Struthio camelus: one gene and its partner. The protein of the gene in region 1 interacts with the protein of each later gene in a pairwise test. Links are inferred from orthologs where the notes say so. Each region holds a gene or a part of one and is shown on either strand. Other genes may lie near its edges. The genes, in order: PLIN1 and ABHD5.

The links.
Region 2: the proteins of PLIN1 (region 1) and ABHD5 interact in a protein complementation assay, tested with the Homo sapiens proteins (3 studies listed by BioGRID, with this or other methods). The link is inferred for Struthio camelus from reciprocal best matches to the Homo sapiens genes PLIN1 and ABHD5.

What each region holds. Positions count from the first base shown.
Region 1 is NC_090953.1:10,034,884-10,049,991, reverse strand, and holds the start of PLIN1 (perilipin-1), read left to right. Parts: upstream 1-9,008; 5' UTR 9,009-9,141; coding exon 9,142-9,197; intron 9,198-15,108. Other genes in the region: WDR93 (WD repeat-containing protein 93), read right to left, coding at 1-94, 726-812, 1,253-1,323, 1,517-1,694, 2,385-2,469, 3,522-3,560, 4,151-4,274, 5,128-5,210 and 3 more. UniProt on the Homo sapiens protein: Modulator of adipocyte lipid metabolism. Coats lipid storage droplets to protect them from breakdown by hormone-sensitive lipase (HSL). Its absence may result in leanness. Plays a role in unilocular lipid droplet formation by activating CIDEC.
Region 2 is NC_090943.1:48,169,104-48,185,163, forward strand, and holds the start of ABHD5 (1-acylglycerol-3-phosphate O-acyltransferase ABHD5), read right to left. Parts: upstream 6,964-16,060; 5' UTR 6,961-6,963; coding exon 6,749-6,960; intron 4,956-6,748; exon of another isoform or gene 4,941-4,955; coding exon of another isoform or gene 4,927-4,940; intron 1-4,926. UniProt on the Homo sapiens protein: Coenzyme A-dependent lysophosphatidic acid acyltransferase that catalyzes the transfer of an acyl group on a lysophosphatidic acid.

The DNA of each region.
Region 1 (15,108 bases):
CACGCCAATGCCAGGTACCTGGAGCAGGAACTGACAGCTGAGCTCGCAATTGGAGCTGCACAAGGCCACACAACATCAGGCTTCAGATCAGCATCTAAACAGCAGGACAGGAGAAGGCTTGACTATAAGACAACTGTTCTCTCATGGTGCCAGTTTCCTCTTTCCCAGTACAGCACACACCAATCCGAGGTATCCTGCCAGGCTGGCCTCATTGAACGTAGTGCCAGCACACAAAGCATGGAGCCCTGCAATTGGAATGCAAGCCTAACCCTCAAGATATAGGGCAGCTCTCCTCCCTGATTCCCTGTTTCCCTGAACCACTGACAATTACTGGCCTCTGAATATCCCCCCAGGGAGCCCTGCTAGGGAAAGTAAGATTCCTCCTACACTGTTAAACTTGTGGCCAACCCCTTCCAGCCTCCGCTATATCTACTTAAGGTGATAGCCCACTCTAGTCTGGGCCTGGTTCCCCTCCCTCCCACAAGGTTGCCTGCACTGCGTTGCAGTGAATGAATCTAAAAGCTAAGAGAAATTCCCAAAAGCTTGCTGGGGAAAAAGGAGGATTCCCCCCCCATACACACAGCTGGGAAAAGGGCAGATTAACAATGGTAGGTGCTGCAGTGTGAGACCTTTGTGAGCAGCTGGGAATTTCCCTGCCACACTGGCTAATATGGAAGCCTCTGGTCACAGGTTTCCAAATAAGCAGTTTGTTTCCTTTTGCTTACCCACTTTCTCCTTGAGTGGACGGTTAAGCGAATACAAGCAGAGATTGTGACTTCCATCCCAGTGCACACTGATGCCAGCTGGAACAGCTGGAAATGGGGAGGGCATAACAAAAAAAAAAAAAAAAAAAGAGATCAAGGGACACGGACAGCAATCCAGCAACTCCAAAACACCATTAGGAAATACTGGGAGGAGATCTCACATACAGGAGCTCTCAAGGTTTCCCTGGCAGGACTTATCTGAACTCTACTCATACAGAACCTAAAATACAAACAACTTCCCCTTTGCTTGTGACTTTTTCATTGCCTATGTGCCCCCTCCTCTTTTTACTATGGAGCTAAGTTTGTTTGACTGCACACTGGTGACTGACTTACGTATGAGGGCTGGCATTCTTATCCAGGCTTACGTCCTTGAAGATGGAGTTTATATAGTCAAACCAAGCCAAGCCATTGAGCTCTAACTGAAGCTCAATGTCATGCAGTAATGAGTTCCACAGGTTAACACCTTCTTCTAACACCATTTGGATTACCTGGCTGTAGTTTTACTTCAGGTCCCACCTGTAGGATCCGGCTAGGCAGGAGAAAATGAAAGGTAGCATGTCTGAAAAGGGAAAAAAGAAACATGCAAAAGAAAGGCCTTGGTAGCTCAACAGCACTGCAGTAGGACCTGGAGTGGCTCTGGCCCTGCCCTGAAGCCTTGGGATGAAGGAGGGAGATCTGAGTCAGAGGACACTTGGGAAACACCCTATGTTGAAATTTCATGGACTAAAATGCTGGTTAGGGCTCCTACTCACCTGGGGATCTCATCCTTGCTCTCAGTCTCGGCCTCCAGATACTCCTGATAAGTGCTGTGGAAGATTGCCTCCTGCTGCTCCCACTGGGAATCCTTGATCAGGTGATTGTACCCCAAGCCAAATATGCTGCCATCATCCACTTTCATCAAGGCATCCAAAGGGCTTTTAAAAATACTTCCTGGATTGAGAACACAAATGAAAGAGCCACAGCGTGGGGAGAAGCAGACACTACGAAGACATGGGAGAGCTCAGAGGCACTTCTACTATCCCAACTTCAGGGTGGCATTGTCTTCAAGAGGGCCACGTTTCATCTTACTGGCAGAAATGTTTCAACATTAACAACGTTCTGTGGAACCTTCTGTATCACTAGTCCATTTTCCAGTTATTTGAAGGCAGGGATCAGGGCAAATCACTTGAGGATCCAGCTCATTGCCTTTCTGTGGCATTCTCCCTGACAGCATCCCCAGAACAAGGTCTGCTCCCTCCCTAACCTCCTCCCTAAAGCTTCAGCATGTTCCTTTGAATTTAGGAGTCAGAGAGAAGAACTGGGATGGCTGTCAGACTGCTAGGATCTAGGAAACAAATAGTCTGCTCCCTGTCTGGTGGCAATGAAGCTGAGGCTGTATGAAATCCGCTGCCAGGCACACTGAAGTATTTTGTGCTAACAGTGGTGGCACATCATGCAGTGGTTGGGCAACAAGCAATTCCCGCTACAGGACTGTAGGCAACTACAGAGACAGGGCAAGAAGGAGCCAGGAAGCACATTACTAAAACTTGCTGAAATATTCTGTTCTGTAGACATAAGGGCCATGATTTCTTTGCCACCTGAAGGAGGCGGAGGGGTTAGTATGCAGAAACAGTCCATGACCTGTAATAGGTTTCGGTGGCTTGACTTTCAGCAGCAACACTGGGAGAGCCAGCTTTGCATCAGCTTTGTTTGCAGACACAGACTCCTGCAAGAGAGAAAGAGTCAGCTTGAGAACTGGCTTTCCCGTAGCTGTGTTGTGTCCTATGCTGAAAGTTTTCACCTGTCAGAAGTTCCTGAGAATCAAACGTTTCCTGAAGTAGGATGTTCCCATCTCCTCAGATGGGGCAGTACTGCTGGGAAAGGAACTGGCAGTTTCAGGGAGGGGCAGCAGAAATGCTAGCCTTGGGACCGAAGGAATCTCCTTGGAAAGCCTATCCATTGGCAATGTGTCCCAAAAATATGGGACGACGTAAAGCTTGGCTTACACTGCCTAGGAGATACTGGTTTTAGCCTCATTCTTCAGGCCAAAATACAGAAGCTTGAAGGAGGTCACTACTTCCCCAACAAAACTACAGAGGATCTCCTCCTCAGACACTTTGCGCTCTACATGCACTCCACTTCAGATCACGCTGAATGCCTCTTGTTGTAGCACAGGCCTGGGTGGGGCACAGGAAGGCTTTAGACCTCAAGGGAAAAAAAAAAAAGACTAAAGGTTGCAGAGTGCTGTGGAAGAAATGAACCAGATTTGGCTTCAAAGGGTCCAGCACTCTAGGAGATCACTTGTATGTCTGGTTGGGAGTGGAGAGTCCTACCAGAGGAAGTACACTTGTGTACCCTCCCCACACCCACACAATGACACCAGGGACTTGGCTAAACAGGAAAGGTCAGGCGAAGCAGCGCATGTCTGAGAAGGAAGAGGCAGGAACTTGGGTACCTTATACGAGCACAGGGGATCAGCAAAGAGGGAAGGCCTCAGTGTTTGTTTACTTTCGGCTTGGCCAATTTAAGGGGGATGTGATTGTCACGAAGACAAGGCTGAGTAGCAAGTCCCTCTTAAATTCCCAGAAAGTCTCTGCTGAAGGAAGGACAAACTGTGAGGCAGGTGTTACAGAGCATGAACTGGAGGTGCAAGACAGACAGTGCCTGAGTGTCGAGAGGTGATCTGGCAGGGTGAAAGTGATGTGGGAGAGGGTTAAGCACTGACTCAGTATTTAAGATTCCCCATAGCAGCTCAGGACATTCACTGAGGTCAGTTACCATCTCTGCAGAACGCTCTCCATACAGCTCCAGACTTTTCTGCCAAAGAACCAGAAGAGGGCGGTGGTTACTTCAAACAGGCTGACAGAGGGTGGGCAGAGACCCTACCCTGCTCAAGTGGATTCAGCTACAACCCCAAGAGGCTCCTCTTGGGGATCTAAAACATGAACCCATGTCAGAGGCACTGCCAGGACCAGACTCCCAGGTGGAGATATAACGCCTGATTCTCAGCTCTGCTCTTTCACCCTCCCCTAGTAACACAAGAAGGAAGGCAGACGTCCTGTGGGAATACCCCCAGAGAGGGCCTCCTCAGATGGGGCAAGTGCTAGGAAAGGAGCCGGCAGTTTCAGGGAGGGGCAGCAAAAAATGCTAGCCCTGGAACCAAAGGAACTTCCTTGGAAAGCCTGTCTTGGGAGAGTTAACATGTCCCAATAACATGACACTCTTGTGAAACGTGGGATGGGCGGCTGTAGAAGCTGCAGAAACAAATACGCTGTCCCCCTGGGCTGACAAACTTGTTCAGCCGGAATCTTGCTGTCACTGTCTGCAGGAGCAAGCGTTAAAGACAGACCTGTAAGCAAAAGGGTACAAGAGAAAATAGTACAGAGGGAAACAGAACTATTTTTTACCATAGATGTCTGACTTGACTTCCTCTCCCTGAAAGCCAACTCTGCTGCAGCTCCTGGGCTATTTTCTCTCTCCTTCAGCCAGGAATCCTTAGGCAACTGGTAGATCTCCAGCCAAGCTTCTGTGCTGCCTGCATTGGGAAACTGTATTGAGCAACTGAAAATAAGGAGGAAAGGTCTTTCAGGCAAGCAGCTCTTACATCCTCAAGAAAAGATCTGGATCCTTTTTGAAATCTAAAATCCCTTTGCTCTCCATGCAGCCCACCTCTCCTCCCACTTAAGGATTCACATGCTAGACTCCAAGACAGACATCACAGCCTCCAGCTCAACCCCTTGACGCCCACCAAACAAATTCCATCGAGTGCCTTTGTCAAAGAACTTGACCTGCAGCCACTGATGGAAGGTAGAAAGTGGTCTCACACTGACTCTCAGTGGATGTTATATATCTCAGTCTCATCATATGACCAGGCAGGTTCCACCAGACGTGGGGTCTAGAAAATCTACTAGCAACAAATGGGCTGACAAAGGCAGCTGCCCTGAAACAGAAGAGTGCTATAGCAAGGCGAGTTTGTTGCTATGTTTTTAGAGGCTGCTCCTATGCTCTCTGGCTTATGTCTGCAGAGAAAGTTCTTCAGGTCTATATATTTCCAGTGTAAAAGTGAGTCCTTGTAAACCAGATGAAGAACTGAGGCAGGTACTTCTACAAAGAGGGAAACCTGCTTTCACTGAGCCTTCTGGGAGCCTTGAGAATTGCGCTGCCTAGTTCCATTCAACTGACTTGGGATCAGTGCTGATCTATAAGAGGCCTTTTGGAGAGGACAGGGAGTGGCAGCAGCAGCTCTCTAAGCTGGAGAAAAGGACTGGGTAGTTTAGGAAGAGGATCCCTGGGAACCCAGAAGACAGAACATTTTAAAAGCATCTGCCGCTGCCCCCTCTTTTAGAATGCAACAGTCGTCGTCCAATGCACCATGCTCCTGCACTTGCCTTGCAGCAGAACTCCTGCGTAATCACCTCCCTGGGAAAGCACCACCTCCACACAAGTACTTCGCTTGCTGATGTCCTCCTGCCAAAGGAAAGATGGCTGGCATCAGAGCAGGGTTACCGATGTAGAGCGCTCGATGACTTTAAACAGTTCTCTGATGGGTGAAGGCAAGACAGACTAGCGGGAGACCCGGACTAACTACCACATGTGCAGTGCACAGGCGTGAGACTAGGGAGATAAGGAAAGTGCCCTGTGCCTAGGGTTTTGTTTTTTAAGTTTGCCCTGGGTTGGCAGGAAAGTCTAGTGGCCAACAGTGCTACTCATGTGCCCTGTGCAAGTGCCTCAGAGGTGCTTAGTTCCAGTCTTGCCTCGGGCTGTCCTTCAAAGGTGCATGGAAGCTTGAGCAGATGCAGAAGAGCATAATGGAGAAAGATGAGGGGGAAGTACTTAGTGCTCTGGCTTGATCCCACAAAAGGGCAAAGAAAAAGCAGACATCAGAAGAATTTAACACCAGACAAGGCCTTGGAGACTGGGAAAGGGATTTACACTTTGTGATTTACACGTACTTTACACTTTTTGATTTACAGTTTGCATTCTTAGCGGAGAGCCATCAGCTCTGGAAATCACTTCCCCAAGTAAAGGAAGACTCATTCCACTGGGTCATAAACAATGGCACTCAGGAACCTCCAGGAGGTGCTTTTGCACAACCCTATACCTATCCTATACCTCTAGGATATCTGCATTCAGAGAGGACTTTGGCAATAACATGGGCTGTATGTCACATAGGCACACTGCCTATGCTCTCCTGGCTCAGTGAATGGCTCTCTGGTCTTGGAGTGCTGCTGCTGCCCATACCAGAGTATTTTTGGAGGGCAATTAGTACTCATCCTGATTGATCACTTAGCAGCTTTTGCCCAGGGTTTATGAAATTAACTCACTACTTACCATTTCATTTAAGTTTTTAATGAATAAGAAGCTGTCCTTGTGAAAGCAGAAGAGCCAGACAAGCCCTAGAAGCGAAACACAGAGATAAGTCGCAGTCCAGTGAATACATGGTAGCCAAGCTCTTGGGAGATGGCTGTGACAACACATGCGGGAGAGTGAACAGGATTACATATTTTCCTGGGCTCAAGGAGAAATGACCCCTTGCTTCCAGCACTAAACTGCCACTGCCTTCCTTATGTCAGCATTTGCAAACAGTTGGCCATACACAGACAGGGCTCAGCCAGCTTGAAAAATATTTCCACCAAAAAATGATAGCTTTCGGATGAATCAACAAACTAAGCTGATTTATCATAGGGCTGTGCAATTACAGATGCTGAAACAAAGAATGGGCAGCAACCCACGGCTAACAATACTTTCTGTCTGGTCTAAGGTATTGCTAAAATTTACTGCACCTCAGCCTGAGCTCTGCACTCACCCCTGCTGCTCCAGAGAGAAGGACACCAAGCCCACACCCTTCACTAATCCCACGGCCTTAGGCCTGTCTGTTACCCTACAACTTACTATCTAACACCCTTCTTCATAGACCTTTATAAGAAACCTGTCAGTAATACTTATACTCCTGCTAATTTAGTACTTTTCTGTAAAGTAGCTGCCAACTCTTCAGTCCCAAAGTGCAGCCATCCCCGAGGTAGCTCAAAGAAATCCAAATCACACTAACCCATTTCATCCACAGCAAGCAGGGCATGGTGCTCATTCCCTAAGTCCGAGGCATGGATGGCACAAACCTCTGTCTTGGCTGCATCCCAAGCACAGGCTTGTTTACAGTCAGACACCTTGAAGACAGCCAGACCCACAGACAGCCCAACAAAGAGGTATTTTCCAGAGACTGCAAGGCAGTTGGCTCTTCCTGTCACCTACCAAGAAAAGGAAAATGTGAATATGCCCAGCCGCTTCCCAGTGGGCGACAGGTCAGTCACGGTCAGCCATACTAGCAATATACTCCTAACTTTTCACTGACAGTAAACACTGATGTACTCTACGAGGGAAAAAATTTTGCATGAGCTTTCATCAGAAGAATGGCAGAGGTAGAGGAGAGGGTGAAGGTGTCTCAACTCCCATCAGAGATGGCTCTGTGTCAGGAATGAGAAAGTTGGCTCCTACCCTTCCCCTTCAGATAAACAGAAGGGGCCTTAAGGGCCAACAACTTGGCAGCACTCAGCCCTCCCTCTGCCAAAGCAGAGCTGTGATGTGATGCTGAGCCCCTCTATTCTAGGTAGTTGCAGACATGCCTCCTGGGTACCTGCCCTCCAGATCCCTCTGCAGATAGATGGAGAAGGCAGTGCAGCCCTTCTGCACAGAAGGCTCCTACAAGCCCCAAGAGCAGCCCCTTTCTGCTGCCAGCTATCATCATAAACAAAGCTGAACTTGTCCATTTACATGCTAGTGACTAACCACCTTCTCCTCAGCAAACAAGGGTGGGGCCAGCCTGAGAAGCAAAAGGTGAATTTAGTACTGTTTAATATCTGCTTCTCTCTTTTCAGAGAGGTGTGATAGATGGGTGGGAAGCAGACCTGTCAAACAAGATTGAAAGCTGCAGCCTTTTGAAACGAATAGGGTGAGATGGCAGTGGATTCTGAGGAAGGTGATGAAGGGAAGGATGTAAAAATCAACTGAATGGACATTATCAAGAAAAACTTCTAAGGTAATTAACGCTCTCTCTGCTGCGAGGGGCTCTTTACCTGGAATTCAGCTGTGGGAAAGCATTTTGTGGCCTGGATCCTCACTTTTTGTGCTTCTTGGAGTGTCTCTCTTCTTTCAATGATTTCCATAGCATTCTCAAAAACGAGCATCACCAGTTTGTTGATCATCCGGAAGGGCTGAGGCAACACATCAAGCATTTGATCGGGATCCTGCAGGAAGAAATTTTCCTCGTCGTCCTTTAACCAGTCCTTTTCAGATGGTGGAGGAATCTCCAGGGGATGCTTCCGGATATACACTGGCATCTTTCTGCCTTTCCAGATGCAAAACGCTCCACAGGTGCAGTAACCACAGTAGACGCAGAAGACCAAGGAATTGTGTCATATCTACATTCATGAGGTAATGGAAAAAAAGATGGTTAATGATTTCTAACAGGGAAGCAGGGTTCCTATCCGTAAACACAGTCAGAGCAAACTTGTTTTACATAGCTCATTTCTACTGGCTCCATCACTTCTACTGCTCGTGTTTTTGCCCTGCTCTGGGAATACTGCTACTGAGATGCCTGCAGGCTAAACACTGAGGTGAAAAGGTAAGTGTAAAAGTTTAGGGGTGCGTTTGTATACAACATTTGTAAGTATGGGCTTGTTCTTCGTTAAAAGGCTTATTCAGCCCGGACTGAAAAACCGGACAAATTAATTTTGAAAACTGGCAATTTCACCATAAGTTTGACTGAACTTTAAAGCCATTGGGCACAGCATTTACTTCCAGATGTCAACGTTCACAGCGTGCCCGTGACCAGGGTCACCACGAGTTAGACGCTCACCCGCCACTGGGAGCCCTGGGGCCCGGGCAGAGGGGCCGGCGGCCGGCGGGGGCCCCGGGCCAGGCTGGCAGCCGGGAGACAAAACCCCTCCGCCTCTAACGCGGAAAGGGAGAAACAAAACCGCGGACCTCTCGAGCTGAGAGCTACAGAGCTGCAAATTAACCACGCGAATCCCGCCCACAACACCTCACCGGGCTCAAAACGCCGCTTCCCAGCACGGCTCCAACGCCCAGGCCGCCCACCGGGCAGCGGCCCGCGCCGGCGGCAGCCTCGGAAGGGGACAGCGCGGCGCCGCCGCCGCCGCCCCTCACCTGCCCGCCAATGTTGTCGGTCGCCGTGGCAACGGCGGGGCGGAGCGCCGCGCCGCGCCGCCCGGCCGGAAACGATCGCCCCGGCGGAGGGTTCCCCCCGCTCCCGGTGCCGCGGCTCGCCGCGCCCGGCCGGGCGGGAGGGGAGGGGAGGGGAGGCGGGTCCCGGCCCCCGCGGCGGGGCGGAGCGGAGCCGCTGCCAAACTCCTCCCGGGGCTGCCCCTCCGCTGGCGCGGCCATGGAGGGCTTCGTGGACTTCACCAACCGCAGCCAGGGCCGGGACCTGCTCTTCCGGTGAGTGCGGGGCCGGGCCGGGGCCCTGCCCGCCCTCCCTGGCGGTGCCGGTGCTCCGCGGGGGGCAGCCCGGCGGCGCCGGCCTCTTCGGGGCCCTGTGTCTGTCCCTAGCCGTGCCGCCGGCCTCCCTGCTGGAGCTGCCCGAAACGTGCCCCCGTGGGACGGAGCTCCCCCGCCTGCCAAACTGCCCGGCCCTGGTGGCGGGGCGCTCGGCAGGCCCCTTGCGCTGCCGGCTGCTGCCTTGGGGCCCCCCTCTGCCGGGCAGGTGTCACCCCGGAGGGCTGCTCCCAGCCCTGCCCGCTCCAGGCCTCCAGCAGGGCCCCTCTCTGGCAGTATTTCGTCTTGCCCTTTCGGGCAGCGTTTCGCATCCAGGCCCCCAAGCTGCTCCTCTCTGGCACAGCTCTGCTGCGTTTTTGGTTTTTGCTTGCTGCTTTACCTGTCTCCAGCTGCTGCACCTGCACGTGTGCCCTTTACGCTAGATCTAACTAATCCTGGCACTGCTGCATGCGTAAGGTGCCAAGAAAGATGAGACGGGTGACCTTAGGCCTGGAAAGAAGTTTTGGCCCACTTCTGCTGTTCCTATGAATTGTCTGTGTTTCACCTGTGAACCGTTTTCCTCGTTTTTTCCATTCCAGAGCTACTCAATACACATGCATGTTGCTTAGCTATTTGTTAGAGCATAAGGCTGATAAAGAGAAGCTGGTAATGAAACTCAAGCAGTTGGAATCTAGCATGAGCTCTGGCCGTAAAAGTAAGTACCTGGTGTCTAGAGGGATAGTTCCTCTTCACTTGTTCCTTCCATCAAAGTAACTATTGAGCCAGTGTTTTGGATATTTAACCTACCTTAAGCTGCATAACCTCTTTTTAGTATACTCACAAAATTGTCAGTAGACCTTATTTTGTGCTGGCTTGCCAGAATAGGTACAGCCATTTAGACATTTATGACTTTGTTAGCCTCTTCTCTGATTAGGCAAGCTGAAAGTATTGGTGAAGGAACTAGAGAAGTGAGTTAACAGTCAGCTGTTGCTGCAGAAATCAAAGTTGTCATCTCTGATAAAGGACAGAACACAAGAGTTAATGATACAAGGCTAGCTTACTGCGTGCTTAGGAGTCCTTTCAGCTAACGTGATGAGACAGACATGTTAAGGATAATCATCCCAAGAAAATCTCCTCTGAGGGACCATCCTTTGATGTGGATTTTCATATCCTACTTCACATATTAATTTTCTTTGGCACTTATACTCTACCAAATTATATACTCTCCTGTACTTTTCTTATGATCTAACCATATGCATCATTCCACTCTGTGTCACAATTGCATCAATTATGGTTATGCTGTTGCTGTTGTTATACTGCTTGCTCTCAGGTTATTCTTATACCTGCCTTTTGATTAACCAATTCTAAAACAATTTTAGTATATAAGGCATATATTCTAATTTAAAATGTTACCATATATTTGTTTTATTATTCCAATTAGCTCTGGAGTACGAGAGGCCAGCTGGTTTATCAGCATACCTATAATTCTCTTGCTTATGCTAAACAAATCTCTAACAGAATTCAGGCCTAAATTCAGGCCATTTGCAGTTCCACAGAACTTGGACACTGCCACATCTGTCATTGTTACAGAGCAGCAGCTTATGAAACATGTTCTGTGTGACATTGTATTAACAATCATGGGTAGTGTAGAGGATGAAATTAGGCTTGTTGTGTAGTATACAACATATATGGAATATACTGTTCTTGTTTGCAGAGAACTACGTGTGCTTCTGAAAAATCCAAGGCTGAGGAAAGACTTGGGTCTCAGTTTGACCTACCTGTGAATCACCAGCCTGCAGAGAAGCTTAGAAATGACATAGCTCATGGCTGTAATGGGATTAGTGCAGTAGCGTCTCCTGTCCACAGAGTTAGGAGAAGTCTGGTCCAGTCTAGAGCTGAAACCGGAGGCTCTGTTTGTGTCACTTTTTTGCTGACACTGCCTTGTTCAGGGCAGTTGGTCATGTTGGTCCAGAGAGCACGTAGGCCCTGGGAATGGAGTGGCAGAAGGTTGCAAGTCCTGGCTATTGAGAGAGTTATATGTAGGTCCTGGGCTGCTGCAGAACAGTACTGAGGTATTTACATCCCTTTCCTTGCAAATACTAGCTTCTTACTTTGTGAACTCAAAATTTGCCCTAAGAGAAGACACTTAAATATACAAATGCCCAAAGACTACCAAGTTTTTGAAAAGTATATGTGGACAGTGACATGCAGAGTTGTCCTACATAGGTCTGTGTCTATTTGTGGTAAAGGGCAGGTCATGCTAACGCTTACGGGCTTTCTTGCAGTGTTCAGACTGGGCAACACGGTACACGCCTTGGTAGCAGCCAAGAGAACTACACAGTTGCCAGATGTGGTTCCTCGCTTCTGCCTTACTACTTCCAACCTGACCCGTGCACTGTACTTCGTCTGCGACACAGTCTTGTGGTTGAGGAGTGTTGGTCTCCAACCTGACATCGATAATCAGAAGTGGCGGAACTGGGCTACCAAGTGTTACTACTTTTCACTGCTGATGAATATAGCCAGAGATTGGTATGAGATCTCCTGGAGGTTGGAGCAAGCTATACAGAAAGGAAAGACAAAAGAAAATGCTTCCTGGGACAAAGAAGATCACAAGCTAAACTGCTTGAAATGTGATAGCTTGCCATCTTTTCTACTCCTGCTGTTTCAGATATTGAAAAGACATCCTCCTTTGCTGCTAGACCTGGTGAAGAATCTGTGTGATCTCTCTAGTCCTTTGGATGCATTAGGAATCTACAAGACCAATCCAGGAGTCCTGGGTTTCTGTGGCCTCATCTCCTCTCTGGTGGGGATCCTTACGTTAGCAAGCCCACATCTGAAACTGAAGCAGTGATGCAAAAGGAGCTGCGTAGTGTGCAATGAACCAACAGTTTTGATTCTCTGTCAGGTTTTCTTTCCGTATGGCACTTTAAAAATGAAGATGTCTCACACTAACCTCAAGATGAGGTTTGCCCTTTGAATAAGTGAATTCTACCCCTTTTCCTTCCCTGTATCTTTGCAGATGAGTTGGGTGCTATGACACACTCCCTGATGGGGTAGAAATGGGAGAAGACAGAATAGTATTTCAGAAACAGGCTTTGGAACGTGGCTGCTAGAGGAACGTGGCTGCTAGATAAGGAAATATTGATGTTCCTATACTTTAATCTAGGGTTGTGAAATAGCAGCATAGACAACTGTAATAGATATATGACTCATAACTAATCATGTTTACACTGGAAAGGTAGAATTCACCAATCAAAGGTTCCTACAGTCAAATTTTTTAGTTTATTCAGGCAAGTTAGGAACTGTGATTAAAATGGCCTGAAGTAAAGTGTGAGCCCTCTGATTGGTTTGAATTGATGGATCCTGTCATCCGTAGGCAGTGGTTTGAATCCAGTGTGATAGTAACTGAAAAGTGATATTAACTAACTGACCTTTCAGTGCTCTTTGTGTAACATGCGTGGGTGCTACTGGATCCATAGTCTAGTGAGTGCCAGTTCATGCCCCAGGAAACCAGCACCTTCTTCTTTTTCCTTTGGCAATGTGAGCCAAGGATTGTTTGCTGCAGACTCTGAATTCTCCAGCGGGCCATTGGTGAGGGTTTTGGTGAAGGACAGCATGTGGGAGAAGCTTATCTCAGTGCTGATAATCCTGTGATTTGTAGGGAACTGGGTTTCCAAAGCTGTGAATCTGGAACCACTGGCTAGCCCTGAATTTCCCCTTATGCACACATCTTAGTTCCCTAGCCCCTGTGATTCCAAGTGCAACTACTTTCCATTAATCCCTGTGTGCTAGGTAGCCTGATTTGTTGTTTTCATTTTCCTTGAAAAATTCCAGCATAATAAGGAGCTTTGGAACCTGCAGTTAAGGAGAAAAGCCTGTCTTGGCGCTTGTGAGTTGGAAGGACTGCAAGGGTGTGTTTCTGGTTGTGTAAGCTCCCGAAGGGAAGGGAGCAGAGCTGGACTTGATAACATCAGAATCTCCTGTGAGAAGAGAAGCTTATTATCTGGATTTGGGCATTCAAGTTTCAAATATTCCTACCTGATCTTCTCTATCCTTCCCTGTCATGGCCACGAGATTTCTTGTGTGTTTGCTCACTGTTTGAATGGGCTCTACCATTTGAAGAGGTCTTACCTTTTCCCTGCAGCTGCATCGTTACTCATCACTTACCTAGCTGGGAATGATTGCCTGGCAGTGTGGTCTAGGTTAAAGGAGAAATGCTGTGTACAGTTGTCTTAACAGTTGCATGACATGTGCAGTCCTTGTTTTCCTGACTTTGCAGCGTACCAGGTCCAACACCATCTGAGAAATATTTGCTCAGCCTATAGGAGACAAAATTATCACATTTCTTCATCAGAGCTAGGCCTGTGTGTTCTGCTGCTTTCTGATGCAAGGACTCCTTGTTTATCTGTCAGGAGATATGAACAGAGATTATTCTAACCAGAACCAAGGTAGTCTCTTACTATTTCTGACTCTGGCCTCCTTTAATTTCTGTTTACAGACAGTCTCCTTTATTAAAAGGAGAAGGCTGTAGAATTTAGTAAACATGGTAATACATGCGTGCTCCAATTTACCTTAAATCATTTTGCTCGTGCTTGGAATTGCTTCCACTTTGAATGTGAAGTGTTAGCCAGCCAATAAAGTGTTTGAAAAAAGAGCTTGCTGGGCAGGATAATTAAGTGTGCTTGAAGACCAAATGTGGCCTGCAGCAGCTCTTCTTTTTAATATGGAAATGAATACCATTAAAAGTAGAGTGTGCTGTCTGTTCAGACCGTGGTGGAGCGTTATGTGATGGGCTGTGTTGTCTTCAAGGGCTTCCTCTCCTTTTTAACAACAGAATTTTTTTTCTTTACTCCATTTGCCTTTGAGCTCCTGACGATGTGTGGACCATCCCTCCCTCGGTCAGAGTTTGACCATTATCCCAGTGTGCAGTAACTGCTGCGAAGGGAGTAAGAGGAGTCTTGATGATCTAGCAAGGGAGGTTTGGCCACCCTCTGCCTACAGAGTTTTATCTTCTTGCAAGAAGCTGTGCTATGAATTTTCTACAGGGGAGCTCTCGCATACAAAATGTATCTTTCATTGATTTGCCAACTGATTTTTCTTTTTCCCTTGTAGATAAAGGGAAATGGATTAAAATATTAATGTGGCCCCTAGCTAGATACTCCTTCTTGTGCCCCATGGAGGGAAACTGTGCTTTGTTTCCTTTGGGTTGGACAAACACTGTGCAAAGCCACGAGCCGACCTTTGATGTTTCTCTTGTAGAGACTGGGGTTAGCAATTACGGACTTAATTTTGGAGATGGGGCAGTGAATTTTCAGCCTCTCTCAGCCTGACTGAATCATTCTACATTACACATGTCGGAACATACAAAAGTAGCTCTTTTTGCTGGGTGTTAAGCACTAATACTTGTCTTTCTGCTCCCCAGCTGGAGGCTAGAAATGTAATGTACCTTAATGTAATGTGACTGAAGCCATAGGATCACAATCAAATGGAGAGAATCCTTTTAGTGCCTTTTCTTTGTATCTCCTTCTAATACAACAGTTGGAATAACGATGGCTGTTTGAGTACAGGCAATAAAGTTAGATGGGTATGGCACTGTGTCTGCGTGTTACTTAGAGGGTGTGGAGAAGAGGTAATGAAGGTGCAATCTTTCCTCACGTTTCTGAATATGAAGGATCATATTGCTAAAGAGATGTTGCCTGTATTTGCACCTGGGTTACAGAGCTTTCCTTTCACAGTAGCAAGGTCTCAGTCAGATTTGTCATACTCGTTTATAATCGTAATTTGAGTTACAAAAAACATTGAGAAGGGAATATGTGAGTACTTGGTATCACTGCATATGAAACGCACTGAAGGAAAATGGCATTTTGGGCATCGG
Region 2 (16,060 bases), on another chromosome or scaffold:
TTTATCTTGCTGTCAGTAAATGAACATAATAAATATTTTTAACTGCACTTCTGCAGACAATGTTGCTACCAAGATTTGAGCTATGGAACAAGCTCAGAAACTTTAAAAAGTTGAAACACTGAGCAAACTCACTGGTGAATATATTAGAATCAAGCTGATTTTTGGAAAACCCCAAACAACCCTCTCCTCTCCTGACTTCCAGAAGTAAATTCAGCTATTTATAAAGAAAGAAAAAATAAAAACATATTCATGCAGAGAATTTGTTGTATTGTTTCTTCCTAACACCAAGATGAATGCCATCATGATTTTCAGGGCCATCCAGCTGGCATGGCTGTTATGAACATCAGCTGATTTGACCTAGGCCCAAATGAAAAGAAGCTTGCATATAACAGAAAAACAAGAGTTAGGTAATTCAAGAACAGCTCCGGTTCCCTCCTCTGGTTTCTGCACACAGTATTCTTGAAGTACTTTGCTAGCAAAGCAATTCAAAACTGCAAATGTTTTGAAATCTAAATATGATAAGCACCATAAGGCTTACTCTTCTAAGGTCTCAAGTAAGCTCGTCACACACAAAATACTTAAGCACTGCACCTCAGTGAGACTAGTCATATATTTAAATGCTCCACTGAAGTGAGGATATGGTGCTCAGTATTTTATCAGAACAAACCATATAGATTTACATATTATCGTTACTCCATACATAACTTTCAAAATAGATTGATATCAAAAGAATGGAACAACTACTGCTCTGGTTTTAACATCATTTAAAACTTCAGGGCAAAGCAACTCACCCAGACTCATTTATTGTTATAGAAATACTAGGGAGGGGCAGGAGTAAAAAGAATAGCCTCAGGTGTTCATAATGGGGCAAGAGTTCAATATATCCAGCATAGGGCAAAGTGCCAGTTTTAAAAGTAAAACATTGTCTTGCCATTATGCTCTCTATAGTTAACACAGGATTTTATATGCATAGATGTTTAAGTGAGATACCTAAGAGATACTCTTATGGTTTTTTTTTTTAAAAGGAACAGCAGAAGTAAGCCTGTTTACTGGAAGTTTTCTGCATTTTCCTCAGCATCAGTAACAGTCTAGGTAAAATCTAAGAGGTCAGTAGGATGTTGTTTCTGCCATCATCAACAATAAACAAGTTATCAGAGAAAATTCTGCTTTTGGTCACTAAATTTCAAGTTTACTTTTCCAGTAATAACCTGAAATAATACAAAGTCAAAGAAAGAGTCAAGGATGGCAGAAACAAGTAAGAGTGTGCGCGTCAAAATATCAGAGAGAGGCAGTAGGTTTACATCTGGCTAATTCATGCCTAAACTAGTGTTAAATTGTACACTTTTCCTTTCCCATTTTATTAATTTAATGGTTTGCAACACCAGAATACTGAATATTGTTTACATGGCTGATTATGGCAAGAATAAATGTTTCTTTATTATTATTTCCAAACAACACTGTTATTACTTACAAAACTTTATTGTTTGAAGTACAGAAAAAATATTTCTCTCCGCAGCATTCACTATACTCAAGCCCCATAGTGTTCTCTACTTACTCCCAGGAGAATTTCCCTTGATTGTAGGTTGTTTAACAAAGCACTGGAAAAAAAAAATACTTTGGAGAAAAATGCAATAAAGCTATTTCAAGCTAGTATTTGAAAGAACATGAAAACATATTTTTAAAGCCAAAGCCACAAGAACCTGATGACGAGGAGCAGCAAAGAAATATTTATTAGACATAAACCTTTGCCTGATTAAGTTGACTAGAGTTAATCTTCAACATTAGTTTGTTAAATGATGAAAAGCCTATTTTTAAATGAGGAAGATAAAACACAAAGAAGTCTGTATGTTGGTCCAATTCTGAGAAGCATCCTATTTCTGCATTTTCATTCCTGCCGCAATCAGTATGAGGTAACCTGGGAGGTGCGATACCTGATTCTAAGGCCATCATCACTGGCAGTAGATCAGATCTAAAGGCTTACTACTTGCTCCATTTGGCCAGTTCAACTATTTTTGTGGCTGCTCTCTAACTGAGATTTCTGAACTAGTTCAGCCTAAAGAGAAATTATGTTTTAAACCAGATAATTCTAGAGATCCAGCTGACAGAGAAGTGAAACAGTTAACCAGCAAAGCTATGTGCTAACAAGGTGGAAAAAGCCTGACCAGTGAGGGAAGGTGGAAGATGGCAAGCTTTTAAGCCAGAGCTGCCACTGACAAGACAGTTAATACATAACCATGACCTCAGTCAGACCGTTTGGATTTAACTGGCCAGGGACATCTCAGGGACAAGGCTCAGGATACGGTTTCATTAAAGCTTTAACAACATAACTAATTTAAGGACTCCTTGTAGTCTTTCATCCGTGCCCCCAAGGTACAACATGTTCTTCAGTGCTTCAGGTTTCTGAGAATGATGAATACAGTCAGAATCATTCCAGCACACATAATCAATACACAATGACTCTTATTGCAAAGGCTGCATATCCGGGGCACAGCTTTTGCACGTAAAGTATAAGCCAGGTGTAGTAACCACAAAAGTAATTTGAATGGGATGTTCCAAGGACAAAAACTAAGTTTTGGCAATTACAGACAAATAGCAGGAGAAGAAATGTATTCCATTGATCCACTTCATGATTATCACGTAAAAAGACTGAACACGTTGCAGTCCTCAGCGACATCAAGACTTGAGGAGCATACTAAAAAGGCAGGACCCAGAAGCGAGAATTAGGGGTATGGGAAAGGAACACAAAAAAACCCCAATCCTTTAACAAAGGTCTGTTCAGCATTCTCATGAGGTGACAAAAAATATAGGACATTGATGTAAATGAGTTTTATGGCTAAAACGGAAACCACTTTTTTCCCCCAGATGGCATTATAAGCCTGCCTGTAAAGTTCTGTTTAGAACAATTTCAAGCCAAGATGTTCCATGCAATCAAACATTGTGAAACTCTTGGCTACTTCAGTAACATTAAAATAGAAAGCAGTGTTTTGAAAACCTCTGCATAATATTTCTAGGAAGTGTAATGTACATCAGCCCCATTTCAACAAAAAGCCCACAGTAGGTTATTGCAGAATATTGCTATATTAGGTCAGAGGCAAAAACAATGCATTCCTCATGTATTTACTGCATCTTGAACTCTGTGTTCAGAACATTCGACATCAACATTAATGCAAAAATGCAGAAGCAAATTTTATTACTCTCTCTACTTATATGAACAGTGATATACAGGACTCATACTTAGCAAAATTAACCTGAGAATGTAAATGCGGTAAATCATAAGCAATGAGTATTACCTGGCTATTTTAGTGATATTCAAATTCCCCATGATGTTAAAATTCATTTGAGCAACCTGAGCATTCAGGCAGCAGAGGACTTATCGTACAGTTTTGCTCTCTCCCATGCTGAACCTCAGCTGTAGGTGAGCATGGCTATATAGCTTACATCATTGTTTCCTCCCCCAAAATACATTTTATTCTCTGTCTCCCAGTATTGCCTTTCACTTTTTATCCATATGTAATTCCTTTCTATACCTTTTTGTCATTTCTTCCGCCCCATTTCTAGGTATATGCAAAGGTGTCCATTCCAGGGCACAGATTTAAGCAGCATGTGTTCTTTCAGTGAACGCCACACGAATAAAGCTTATCAGTGGACTGCTGCCTGTGCCTGCACCCTGTAACTCTCATACTGCTTACAAAATAAACTGTGTTAGTGTCTAGTGCAAGGAACCATTAAGAATGTTTGCAGTAATGAGGAAAACATGCACATGCTTTTGGTCAGGCAGCTATTCCTTATTCTTATCACTGCCAACTGCTAAATAGGCTCTAAATCTCTCGAAAATTGCAGTGTTCTATCTCCTTTCAAAACATCAGATATACTCCTCTCCTAACTCCACAGTCTGGTTAAAGCCAGGTCACAAATATACTACAGAGCAGAGAACTAATTAATTCTAACAGGTTTTCAATAACACTGTTCCCCTCCCTAACTTACAACATACTCCCTAACATATAAGCATTTCCCCTTAAAAACTTTACAGTACTCCAACTGCTAACAGTAAGAGGGTAATCAAGCCCTCAATTATTTCCTTCCATCTTTTCTAATGACTCACATTATATCTCAATTTAAAAGCTAAAATCAAAGACGATCTAGGGAAAAATCATATTAGCGACTACAGACCACGTAAGAAAGAATACAGTACACAGAGATAAAGATGCAGGTACAGCGCAGAGAGAAGGGGGAGCTGCCAGTCACACAACAACTGTTCAACCTCGTGACAGAGATTGTGCGTGGAACACACAGCTTTGGTACTAGTGAGGATCTACACCCCTTCAACTCCACCACAGTAAATTCACATCTGATAAAACTTGGCATTGCCACAGTAATCAAGTGTTGTTACAAACATCACATTGTACATCACATTAAGAACTTCTGAAGTGTATTATTAAAATAAATAAAACGATCATTTTCAGGTATTACATAATTTCCTACTACTCTCATTTTATTCACCTACTGATATGTTCTTGGTGCCCTTCAGATATTGCATAACCTTAAATAAAATAATATATTAATAAGTAAATACTGTTTCAACCTCATTTATCAGCCTTCTAATATCTACCTTGCCAGAGGCCCACATTTCAGACTATCCTTGAGTTGCTTCAAATTGAACAAAAATAAAATACATACGTAACAAGCATCTTTTGTAAATCTACATAATTGTCCACTACGCCATTTATCTTTTGTTTATATTCCTTAGTGCATTACACACAATTTGGATCACAACTTAAATAGGAGATGGATACACATTTTTATTTTCCCATAAAGAACTGCATAAGAACACAGATAAAAGACTATGTAAAGAATGCAATTATTTCACCTAGCTCCAAACATGCTATACACCAAACCCCATTTATACCACACCCTTTCACTGCATACCTTTGGAATAGCATCTACATTGTGTCTTTTTACCACAGTGCTACTTCTTCCTATGTCAAATTGCAGTACTCAATGTTTTGACCTACTGAGCCTAGCCTCCACTTCTTAGAAAACCCTCATGAATACTGTCTAGGAAGTACCCAGTCCCTCCCATTCTCCCAGAAACTCAAAGATAGTTTTGTTTACATGCCTAGATTGCAAAATTTTTAGAGGTCAAGGGAAGTGCAAATAACCTTAAAAACAGGTAAGAAGATCTAACAGGTCTAAAAAGCCATTGCATCAAATGTTCTGCTAGGGAAAGGTATTTTTATTTTTTATATATATACACACACACACACGCACGCACACACACACACACAATTAATAAGCCTTTAGACTCATGTATAATACTTACTAAATGTCATCAAGAAAAAAGTTCAACAATAGTCTGTTAGTACTAGCCCACCCCATCTCCTTTTTTTGCATTGTAATCCCTTTCTCTTCCTCACTGCAATGTATTAGTGGACTTTCTCATTGGCAAGAGGTGCTCTTGCAACTTTCTATTAGAGAAAGCATTTCTGGGATATCTCTCCCCCTCATTTCTGTAACCTCACATGATCCTCTGTTTTCTGTTACAACTCATTCAGAAAATCTTCCTCCTTCACCCTTCATCTCCATGTTTTCTTCTTGTCACTCAAGGATTTACCCTTAAATTCCTCCTCTTTTACCCTCTTAACCTTATTCCAGAGTGACTTCATCCCATTACATAGCTTCACTGACACAAATATCTCTCTTCTCCACTGACCTCTCTCCTGCAGTTCAGCCTCTAATCTGGATCCATTGGTGCCAATGTAAACTGAGCCACTCACCTTTCCTCCCATGCCCTCTTCCCTCTTGCTGTCAATACAAATTATGGACAAAAAACTATCCTGAAAGAATGTCAGAATTGCAAGTAAACACTCAAAAGTTATGAAATTTGAAAATCAAAATTTCCTCATCAAGTAATCTTAGTAAGCCACCAGAAAAACTATTAGACCTGCTTTTTTCCTCCCTCCTCATCAACCAGGAAAGTTCTTCAGATTTTCTCAGTAACGTTTAGAAAACCTGTAGCTGGTGGAGATCCTCCTGGCATGGACCCTGTCCTTTTTGGAGGGCTAGGTCTCTAACCGGGCCTATAAGGCAAGGCTTAGTATAATGTCAACAAAACAACAGAACTCTGGAACAGCACCGATCTTCAAACAGGCTCCAGAAAACTTAGAATTTATCCAAAGGTATGCAATACTGGCAAAAGTTTGTGTTACGCTACGATCCCCAAACCTTTCCAATAGTAACTCCAAAGCTAGTTTACCTTCTCAGTTTGAGAGTCCCTTTAAATTTCCATTGGGCTTATGACTTCAGTTACTCAACAGGTACTGGAATCCTAATCTGGTAACTTCCATACTAAACTGTTTGCTTGGTAAACATAAAGTTTCCACTTTATCCACAGTGCCAGCAGCAGACTTCCTAATGTTGGCTTATTAATCCTGCATTACCCCCAATTAGTAACATCTTAAACGTAATTGAAAAGCTACTCTATAACTGCTATCCTCCCCCCTCCACTCCTCGTTGTCTTTCTGAAATGTAAGGACTTGAGCCAGATGACTGATAAATCTAGTAGGATTTTTAACAGGGGATTTCTGCTGTAACAGATGACTTGGCCAGATAATCACTGAAGGAGAGCGGGAACAGGTAACTTCAGGCAAGATACTAAAAGTACGTTCTCTGTAATGGTATCTGTAAGAATTCTGTGTCCGTTTACTAGATATTTGAAGCGTGAACCACATGCAACACAACTGAAGATTACCTGGGTTTACTTTCAGGCCTGGTAGTGACAGTGAAAATCATGCACTTGAATACTGCTTCGCCTAGGATGGGAACCAGTGTTTTCATCATATGCAACTGGAAAAGAACAACTGAAAAGATTCGCCGTGGCTCGAAAAGAACTATTGAGGGGAAAAGACCTTCTGCAGCTCCCTGGAGTATGTTGGTGATGCTTCTTCTCATGTTGTCTAACATAAGAACAGGTTTCAGAAAGAGTAGAGGAGAAACTAACTTGTGGTGTTCAAACCTCTAGATTATGATTCCTGAGGTAGTCTCCCTTAAGAATCATAAAGAACTATGAAGAACTAAACTCCCTGAAAAATCATAAAAGTGTGTTTGCTGAGCTATAAACTGAAAGTGTGTCATGCCCACATTTATTTTTATTTTTTAATAAACTGTGAAAGGAAGTTCAGGGGCCTCCCTGAGGTCTTATGAACGCATCTTGACCAACTGCTATTTCTTCCCTGCTGGGTTCTTTGGCAAGTCCTTGCCAGCAGCTCTATCATATCATTCCCTGCTACGCTGAAAGAGCATGAAAGACGGTAGGCAAATATATAAATGGGTCTATCTGAATCTAAAAATCCATTTCACAAACGTTAGTACATCACGTGTAACAATGGAGGACCACTCCGGAAAGGAGAAAGAGAATGAAGAAATCAAAAAGTAAGAAACTGTCCTCTAAACCTCTGTCCTAAACTTGATTCAAGGAATATCCAATAAACAAGAGAATCCAAAGAGCAGTCAAAACCAAGTAAAGAGCAGACCATCTACTCCTATATATTCACTGTAGTTTTTCCCCTCCTTGTTCAGTAATGTTTGCCCAGAAGCCTGAATACTACTATTCTAATTCCCTAATGTGCTTATTTAAGCCTCTCAAGGGAGCATTTACATGAAATTCTTCCTTGTCAGGGATAGGGAACACACTATCACAATCATCTTTCTTCTGTCACTGGAATGAGAAGATAGCTCCTATCTTTTTACCATCTCTTTCCTTCTCTCCCTTGAGTTTGGGTGGGGGGAGAAGAGCTATCTTTCTGATGACCACAGACTTTCCTCTCCCAAAATCACACAAGGATAGGAAAACTGTTTGAGACAAGCTTATAAACGCTTGAAAACCTGCTCATATGTATACTTTCAGATGACTACACAACCGGAATGCAAAAGGCATTGAGCACTGAAGTTACAACTTACACAACCCTACCAGTGAAAAAGACAAAATCAAAAAAGAGGAAGGAAACATCCTTTTTTCCTTCTTTACACGCGCTATCACAATGAACTTCTTATGTTTCACTAACTTTAAAAAATGGAAGCTGCAAGTCCCAGACTTGCTGCTAGTTCTCTGTGCTATACGACAGGCCTTTGGAAAAGGCTCCTTTCACAAAGGAAAAGAGAAAGGATTGTGCTTTCAGCAGCCCATCTGCTTAAGGTTTGCTTTAAAATCTAGATGTTGAAACCAGCAAGAAAGCAAGCAAAAATCTGAATTCAGACTGCCCCTTAAAAGTACGCTTTAATATCACTATCTTACTAAAAGATAGACATAGGCTGTATAAGGTCTGATACAATATTCCTCTTCTGCTTTAATTCAATAACTTGCTTCTATAATTTGTAAAAAGAATACTGTAACATTTCAAACCGCATACCCAAAGAATCAAACACAAACAAGCCTGAAGGATAACGGAAAAATAATTGTGATTATTGGTGTTGCAGTGACATTTACAGTATATGTTTTTAAATATTATTCTAAGCCACTATTTTGTGAGACTACAGGCCACATGCAAACAATTTGATGTAGGCTTTTAAGTGCAGACCCCTCTACATTTTTTTCTTTAGAGAAAGTTAATCCACTTATCTTGGAGGGAAAGAAAACAGTGCTCTGTCTTTGGGATTTTTCCCAGATATGTGCATATACTTAGTAGCTGCTATTACTAGTTATTTTGTAAGCCATAAATAGTCCTGCTGAATCCAGAATGAACATAAGTGAATTCAATATTGGCAAAAGGATTATGCTAGGCTGATTGCCTCACAGGCAGAAGTCTACTTCTGCAACTTATACAGAGAAGGTTCAAGGCCGCGAAGAGGTTTGGAGTTGTTAGTAAGTGACATGTTAACCAAGCAAATGCTCCCACGATGAAGACCCAAAACATCTGTTTAGTTAATTGTCCTGACCTGGAATGAGAAAATGTCATGAATATCTTTCAATTAAGACCATCTAGGAAGTTACTGAGATACTGTTGCTCCATTTTCACCATACTTGTACAGTTACCAGATTTCAACAAATTGGGCATGTTGCAAAACAAGATAAGTAACACTAACTTTTCAGGCAAATAAAGTAAACGTCATATTTATTTTTCAGATATACTTGTCACTAACAATTTAATCTAGGGCTTTAATGGTATCTAATAATTCTTCCTCTCATTGTCACAGAGTTTTAAAACCAAAAGTATTTAACATATTTCACTCATTTATAAGTCTTCTGTGGGTACTGAGCTTTGCTCAGCTTGAAAGGATGAAGAAATGCTAATTTTGACTAATATTAGAAACAGAACAATAGTGCTAATAACCTGGAGCATTAACATTTCATCATAGCTAATGTTGTTTTTGAAACCACAGAGAAGAAGCACGAGATTTTATTCTTATTCTTAGAAGTCTTTAGTGAACCGGGGAGCTTACTCTGAAAGATTTCACATTAAACGTACTGACTGCTCAGAAGAGGGGCACCGACATCATCTTCAAAATTAAGTCCCTTTAAAAGCTATCCAGTTGAGCAAACCATGATGAGACTGTCATAGTCCGTTTTGAAAACTTAGTCTATGATTCCTAACGCTATGCCCAGACAGTCTAACATTATAATCCTGCAATTCTGATAGGTTACAGAAGTTGAGGGCACTTGGCACTATTTAAGCAGCACTCAGCACTCCATGTGATCAAATAAGGCAGCTAATACAGTTCAGGCTAATGCGCTGAATGAACATATAAACAAAACAGGTTGAGGCAGAGCTATTTTAAGGCTCTGATTTAGAAAACTCGTAAATCATCAACAAGAGGCTTTACAAATGACGTGCATTTTATGAATGTGAATAGATAAGAAAGTCATCTGAACGCAGAACCAAGAAGGGAAACGTAGTTTAAAATGCAAGTAGTAACGCTGCAGAAGGTATAAAGAAAGAAAAGATATAAAAAAAGCTATTTTAAGTTTGAGGAAAGGAGGACCAAACAGAGAAACAGACCAGACCAAACTGCACAGGGCTTTGCAGGTGAAGTCTTTCAAGCTTATCCTAAAAAACAGACTACTGTGTGTATATGGGTATAAAGGCACGACAGCGAGCTGAAGACATGAAAAGATGAATAGTCCAGGTTTGGTTAAATTGAGCTGGCAGCAGACAACATTCAAGACGAAGTATCAAAGCCAGAAGTCGTAAAACGGGCTAAATAGAGAACAAGACTGATAACAGAACAGACATACAACATGACCACACGCAACAAATATTATCCTGCATATGAAGTCATGAATACACAGCATGACTTTCATGCTAGCGGTTAAAGGATTTTAGGTGGATTTCCTCAAAAAAGGTAAAATTTAATTATGAAAGGAAAGAAAGAAAAAAGGAAAGAGCAAGAGTGGGTTTCTGGGGGCCAGGAATCAGTCATGTGATACCTTACATGAACGATGGAGATAAAGGAATAAAGGGAAAAATGTTTGTATATAGCACATACAAAGTACATATGCTTATCTGACTGAGGGAATACAGCATATGTATGACTACAACACAATTAGATACACTCTGATGGAATATTGTTTAGACTAAAAGCACATATAATGATGGAAAACTAGGAGATAAGTGATAAGATTAAGAAGTATGTTTTATGAATAAAAAAGACTCAAAGACAGGATGATTGTATATTCCATAGTGCAATAAGGGAAGGCAGAAAATACATTTTGGAGCAATAGAAAGATATCATGTCTGTCCTGGCAGCTGAAGTGTACAATGAGAAGTAAAACATACACTGAAGGACAAGGCATGAGACGATATACACCAATAAATAATAGGGGGACAGAAGAAGAGCGGAGCACTATTTAATAACTTATGGAACCATTTGCATGTACATAGTCTGAAGACGCAGTGCAGGACTACGTAGCATCAGGAGAAGAGTGATTAATAGCTATAATGAAGACACATATTGAGCGTGTGAGTCAGTAGTTACAAACAAATATTAGGGATATCAAATGTACATTAAGAACAGGGCAGGGCAATGTATAGCAGGGGAGTTAGTTTGGTCGATGAGATTGTCTTGGGACACTGAAAAGAACGAAAAGTTTAGTGAAGGCAGCTGAAGACGAGGTAGGTATACAGTATTAAAAAGGGGGAAAGTCAGAGCAAGAGTAAATAGGTTAATGCACATTGTAAAGATGTGCTTTCATCCCCACCTTGTATCGAGGATTACAGAGAAGAATAATAGTAGAGCAGCAGAGAGACTGAAAAACTTTACTGCCTGCTCTGCATCTAAGTGAAAGAATAATAGTAGAGTGGCAGAGAGACTGAAAAACTTTACTGCCTGCTCTGCATCTAAGTGAACATACTGAACGTAGAGAATGAGAAGGTAGGATATTTGCACGTACAGGTAAAGTTGCAAACACACACAAAAGCATAGGGCATCTGTATATACAGATGTGCGCACAGAGGAGACTGGGGTGCAAAGAAAGGGGGGATAAAATTAATGTGCATATACACTGAGGCAAGGCAGTTCATGAAACGCGCATGCATCTATGCAGGCGGGAGCGCGGTTACAGAAGCCAGGCCAGGAACGGTGAAGTTTACGCACAGATGTTGAAGCAGCAGTCACATAAGGCTTGCGTGTGCCCAGCGGCGAAATCACACTGGCGACGGCCTGCGAAAGGACGTGTCTGCCCGTGAAAGGGGAAGACACGGCAGGGCTTCGCAAGAGAGAGGACGGCACGGGTGCGTATGTGCACGAGGGGTGCTCGGCAGGCGCGGGGAGGACGCGAGGGACCGGGCAGGAGCAGCCGGCGAGGCAGCGGGGCGGGAGGCCCTGGCCGAGGCTGCGGGGGGCCCCGCGCGCCACAGCCGCCGCCGCCAGCGCCGGGGCGGCAGCGGCGGCCGGTAACCGGCACCGGCACCGCGGGGCGGCAGGCCGCAGCCTCCCGCGGCGCCCCGGGAACCGGGGCACGGCGCATACAGATACGCAGCTGTGTGCAGACGTAAACCCGTGTATAAACACGCACCTGGGAGAAACCTACAGCCACAGGCAGGGCCGGGTGGGCGCCTATAGGCGCCGCGTGCCCCCTCCCGCCCAGGGCGCCTATATAGGGAGGACGAGGGTCACCCTCAGGGCAGCGCCCTTCACTCACCCTTCGCTGGGGGCCTCCTCCTCGGCCATGGCGGCGGGGCGGCGAGCGAGAGCGGGCGGCGAGGCGGCGGCGGCGGCGGCCGGCAGCGCAGCGAGGGACAGCGCGACCGCGGCGGCACCGGCCATCACGGGGCCCGCCCGCCCGCCGGTCGCCTGCGTCATCCCCGCAGCGGCCGCCCACACCATAGAGCGGGGAGGCTGCCAGCGGCTAGAGCGCCCCGGCGCCGGTCGGGGGGGGGCAGGGCAGAGTCGCGCCGCGCCGCGCCGCGCCGCGCGTCCTGCCCTGCCAACCGTCGCCCTTCGCCCGCGGGCGGGGGGCAGGGTGCCCGCGCGCCGCGGCGTGGCGTGGCCGTTGGGGCGGCCGTTGGCGCGCGCAAGCTGGGGCGGGTAGGGGTGTGGTGAGGGGGCAGGGACATGGCGCCGGCTGCCTGCCGCAGCGCCGTGTGTGTGTTTATGTGTGTGCGCGCTTGCGGGGGACCCCGGGTGAAGGGTGGACAGCACACGCCGCCCAGAGGGGAGGGCACGGGCTCTTGCCATGCGAAAGCGGTTTTGCTGGCGTTTCAAGCTGGGCTTCTGGGCCCACGGTGCCTGCACGACCTAGCCTGATCCTGAGATAAAAGCCTAGGTTACTAACGAAGACGTCTACCTCTTGTGAAGAAAGGCTAGACAGAGGGTGAAATCTTGCCTGGGTTAATGCTCTGTCGCGGCGGGTCAGCCACATCATCCGTAGAAGCGTTTCTGAACTGTGAATGTTAAGCCTCCAAGAGAAATATGGGTACATAGCTACTGAGTGATTATATTTCCCATTGCTACCTCGCTAGTTAATAACTGTATAGTAGGCAAGAGCCTGAACTTTGGAAAATGACATTAGATACTGAAAGCTCCTTTTGAAAGTTGACAAGTAATGCAAGAGAGGTGGCAATACCCAAACCAACGTCTCCTTTCCCTCCACAAACTGAGCTCGTTCACCAGCTTGTTTAGCAACAACAGCACTGGATTTTCAGGTTGCTAGTTCTGTGTTTGATTTTCTATGTAAGAAACATAGGATTATTTCTGAATGTAGCTTAAATAGTATCAGTCCTCAAGACAATTATGAAATAAACATGTAGAACGCCTATTGTGTGTTCACATTTTCAAGTATTTTGAAAGACTTGTACGTACTTTGAACGAAAGTTTGCCCATACCTATGGAGAGGAGAATGCTGAGGGAAAGGGATATACTTGATCTAGGCAGTGTTCAGTGTCACAGGTCGTATTACTATTCAGTTATGTAAGAACTGCATCCATAGTGAACAATAACTAATCCTCAAGTAAGGCAGTAAGATGCACTGAGTGTAAACAGTGGTAAGTTTTTAAGTCTTGCATTTCTTCTGAAGTTTACCACTGAGCTGAAGCACTTTAGAAGAACAGATGCTATCTGATGGAAGATTTTTATTTAGCTTTCTGAAATCCTTTGATAAAATGCATAATATTAATTTGGTAATAGCAGATTCTTCACAGCTAAAATTATTCTATAACAACAGCGATTGTTCAGATTACACAGCTTCAGCTAAAGTTTGTTTGGCTGTGTCACAATGCTTCAGTAATCTAACGTTTCTCGGGATAGTTTATTTTTTATTTGCCTGAAATATTTTATTTACAGAAAATATGAATATCTAGGAATGTAGAAGTATATGATCACAGGCAAACATTTGCAGTGATACTCTCTGGAATTTGCTAACAGCCTGAAACAATAGCTTTGAATGCTGTGATTCTTTCTACTTATTATTCCATTGAAATTAATATTGAAAACTTCATAATCAGTATTTAGGCCCTACTCCTGGAGCACACAAATGTTTAGATACAGTTTTCTCTGTGATTTCATTGCAGCAGCACTCCCAAAAGCACTAATTGGTTACATGTGTTTAAGAGTGTAAGTGTACGAGTAACTTTTCTCTTTTAAGAGTTCCTCTTTCTCTATTACTTTCTTAGCCTTTGATAGAAATAGCTCAGTTTTTCTATACTTGATTTGATTACATGGTTAAATTAGTTATACTTCTGTGCATGAAAAAATCTCTTGAGATAATGCTGATAGAAGAAAGAGGAATGTCAGTTGGCTGATGCTGCAGTGTAAAAGAAAGACAGCTATATCATAATGAGAAGCAAGTACTTCAGATGAATTTTCTCATTTTGATATTTTAGAGAAATTTCTAGACACTGCAAATATTATCTCTTTGACTGTAGGGAAAGGATCCCTACCACTGTTTAGTCTCCCACTTCAGTAATAAGACTCTATATTGATTTTTAGTGGGACTTTATTGGGTTAGCTTAATATCATTCTCTTTAATAAGAAGTATGTTACCCAATGTTGCTATATGAGCCTGAATTTTATTTCCAGATCCCATCGTCAAGCATGGATAAGTTTAAAAAAGAAAGACTTTTCTGTCTCACAGTGACAAAATAAGAAGAGATGCCTGCTCACTGTTGTTATCCTTTGTTACATTTTTCCAAGACAAACATTTTTTCCTGATAGCATCAGAAGAAAAAACAAGTTCCTTTGGCTGGGAGAAGAAGAATGATCCAGGTGGCCTCACATATCCCCCTTGTTCTAGATTGAGATAAAGAGTCAATTTTTGTGCTAGAAAGGCTCCAGATGACATTACAGAATTTTCACTGTCAGAACCATCTTGCTTACTCTGGATTTCAAACAGTAACTTTGAGACCATCAGTGTTAGAACTCAGTGTACAGATAACTACCATTTTTTATCTGAGATCTGGAGTTGTACTATTGCCTATGTAAATATTCCTCAAATACACAGAATTTCCATATTATACATATTACACTTTAAATGCTACTTTTGACCTACAGAAGAAGTAGCTACTTGTCAGTTAGAGTCTGTGACTTAATGAAGCATGAAAGGAGAGCACAAGTACTTATCACCCACACTTTTAATAACAAAATATTTTTATGATGACCCACTTAGCTTGCTGCTTCTCACAAATAGCGTGCTAAAATCAGCATAAAGCAGGCTGACTTGGCCAAGTGTCTACAAGCTAAGCGGAAAGGGGCTTTTATGATTGGTGTTTATATGAAAGGAACATCATATACTGTGCCTATTCTGATTTGGTAGCAGCAACGAAGATAGCACCCCAGCTCGCAAGCAAAGGGACTCACACCAATTGCATTCTTGTGGTGCATCAGCAGGCATGTAGTTAACTGCCACACAGCCTCTGCAAGCCCTTTGTTTTCTGCTCCCACAGGTCCTTCTCTGAGTGTCTACCCCACACGTTCTCCATCTTCTACTTCAGGCATAACTTCCAGCTGAAGGTTTAAGCCTTGCACCCCAGGTAGCCCTGCATGAGAAGGAGAACCACCTGATTCTGAGATTTTGCTGCAGCTGAGGGTAACAAGCAAAACACAAAATTAAACTGGTTGGTCGGTTCCTGTTCACAATAGCAAGAGGACCCTGAAGCCCTCATTGTATACCCCTATGAGCCTAGCTGTCTCTGGGAGGGCTTGGCTTATCTTGCTTGCTCCTTCAGGAGAAGAGCCTGACACAGTGAGCTGCAGGCTCAGCTGCAGGTGCTGGAGCTAGCTAAGCCTGAATGGAAACCCAAATGGCTGCTGGAGGACTTGTCTCCCTCTGGACATATAAATGAGGAAGTTATGTTCCTAGTGTGACTGCTCTATATTATCCTGTTCCACAGCCATATTTAGGTGTGGAAGTCTTGAGCTACTTGGAGGTCCTCCTTCATGTGAATTTTGCCAGCATCTTCCACACGACTTGTCTCTGCCTCTGGTAAACGTAAGCAGGCTGTTCCTACAGATATCCAAAGTCCTGGGAGCTGTAAGTGAGGTTGGTGGAGTGGAAGTCCATCTCTGACAGAAGGCTAGTGTTCTCTGATGATTACTGTGTCTGAGGCCTGCCTTGCATGGGGAAACAGTCTGT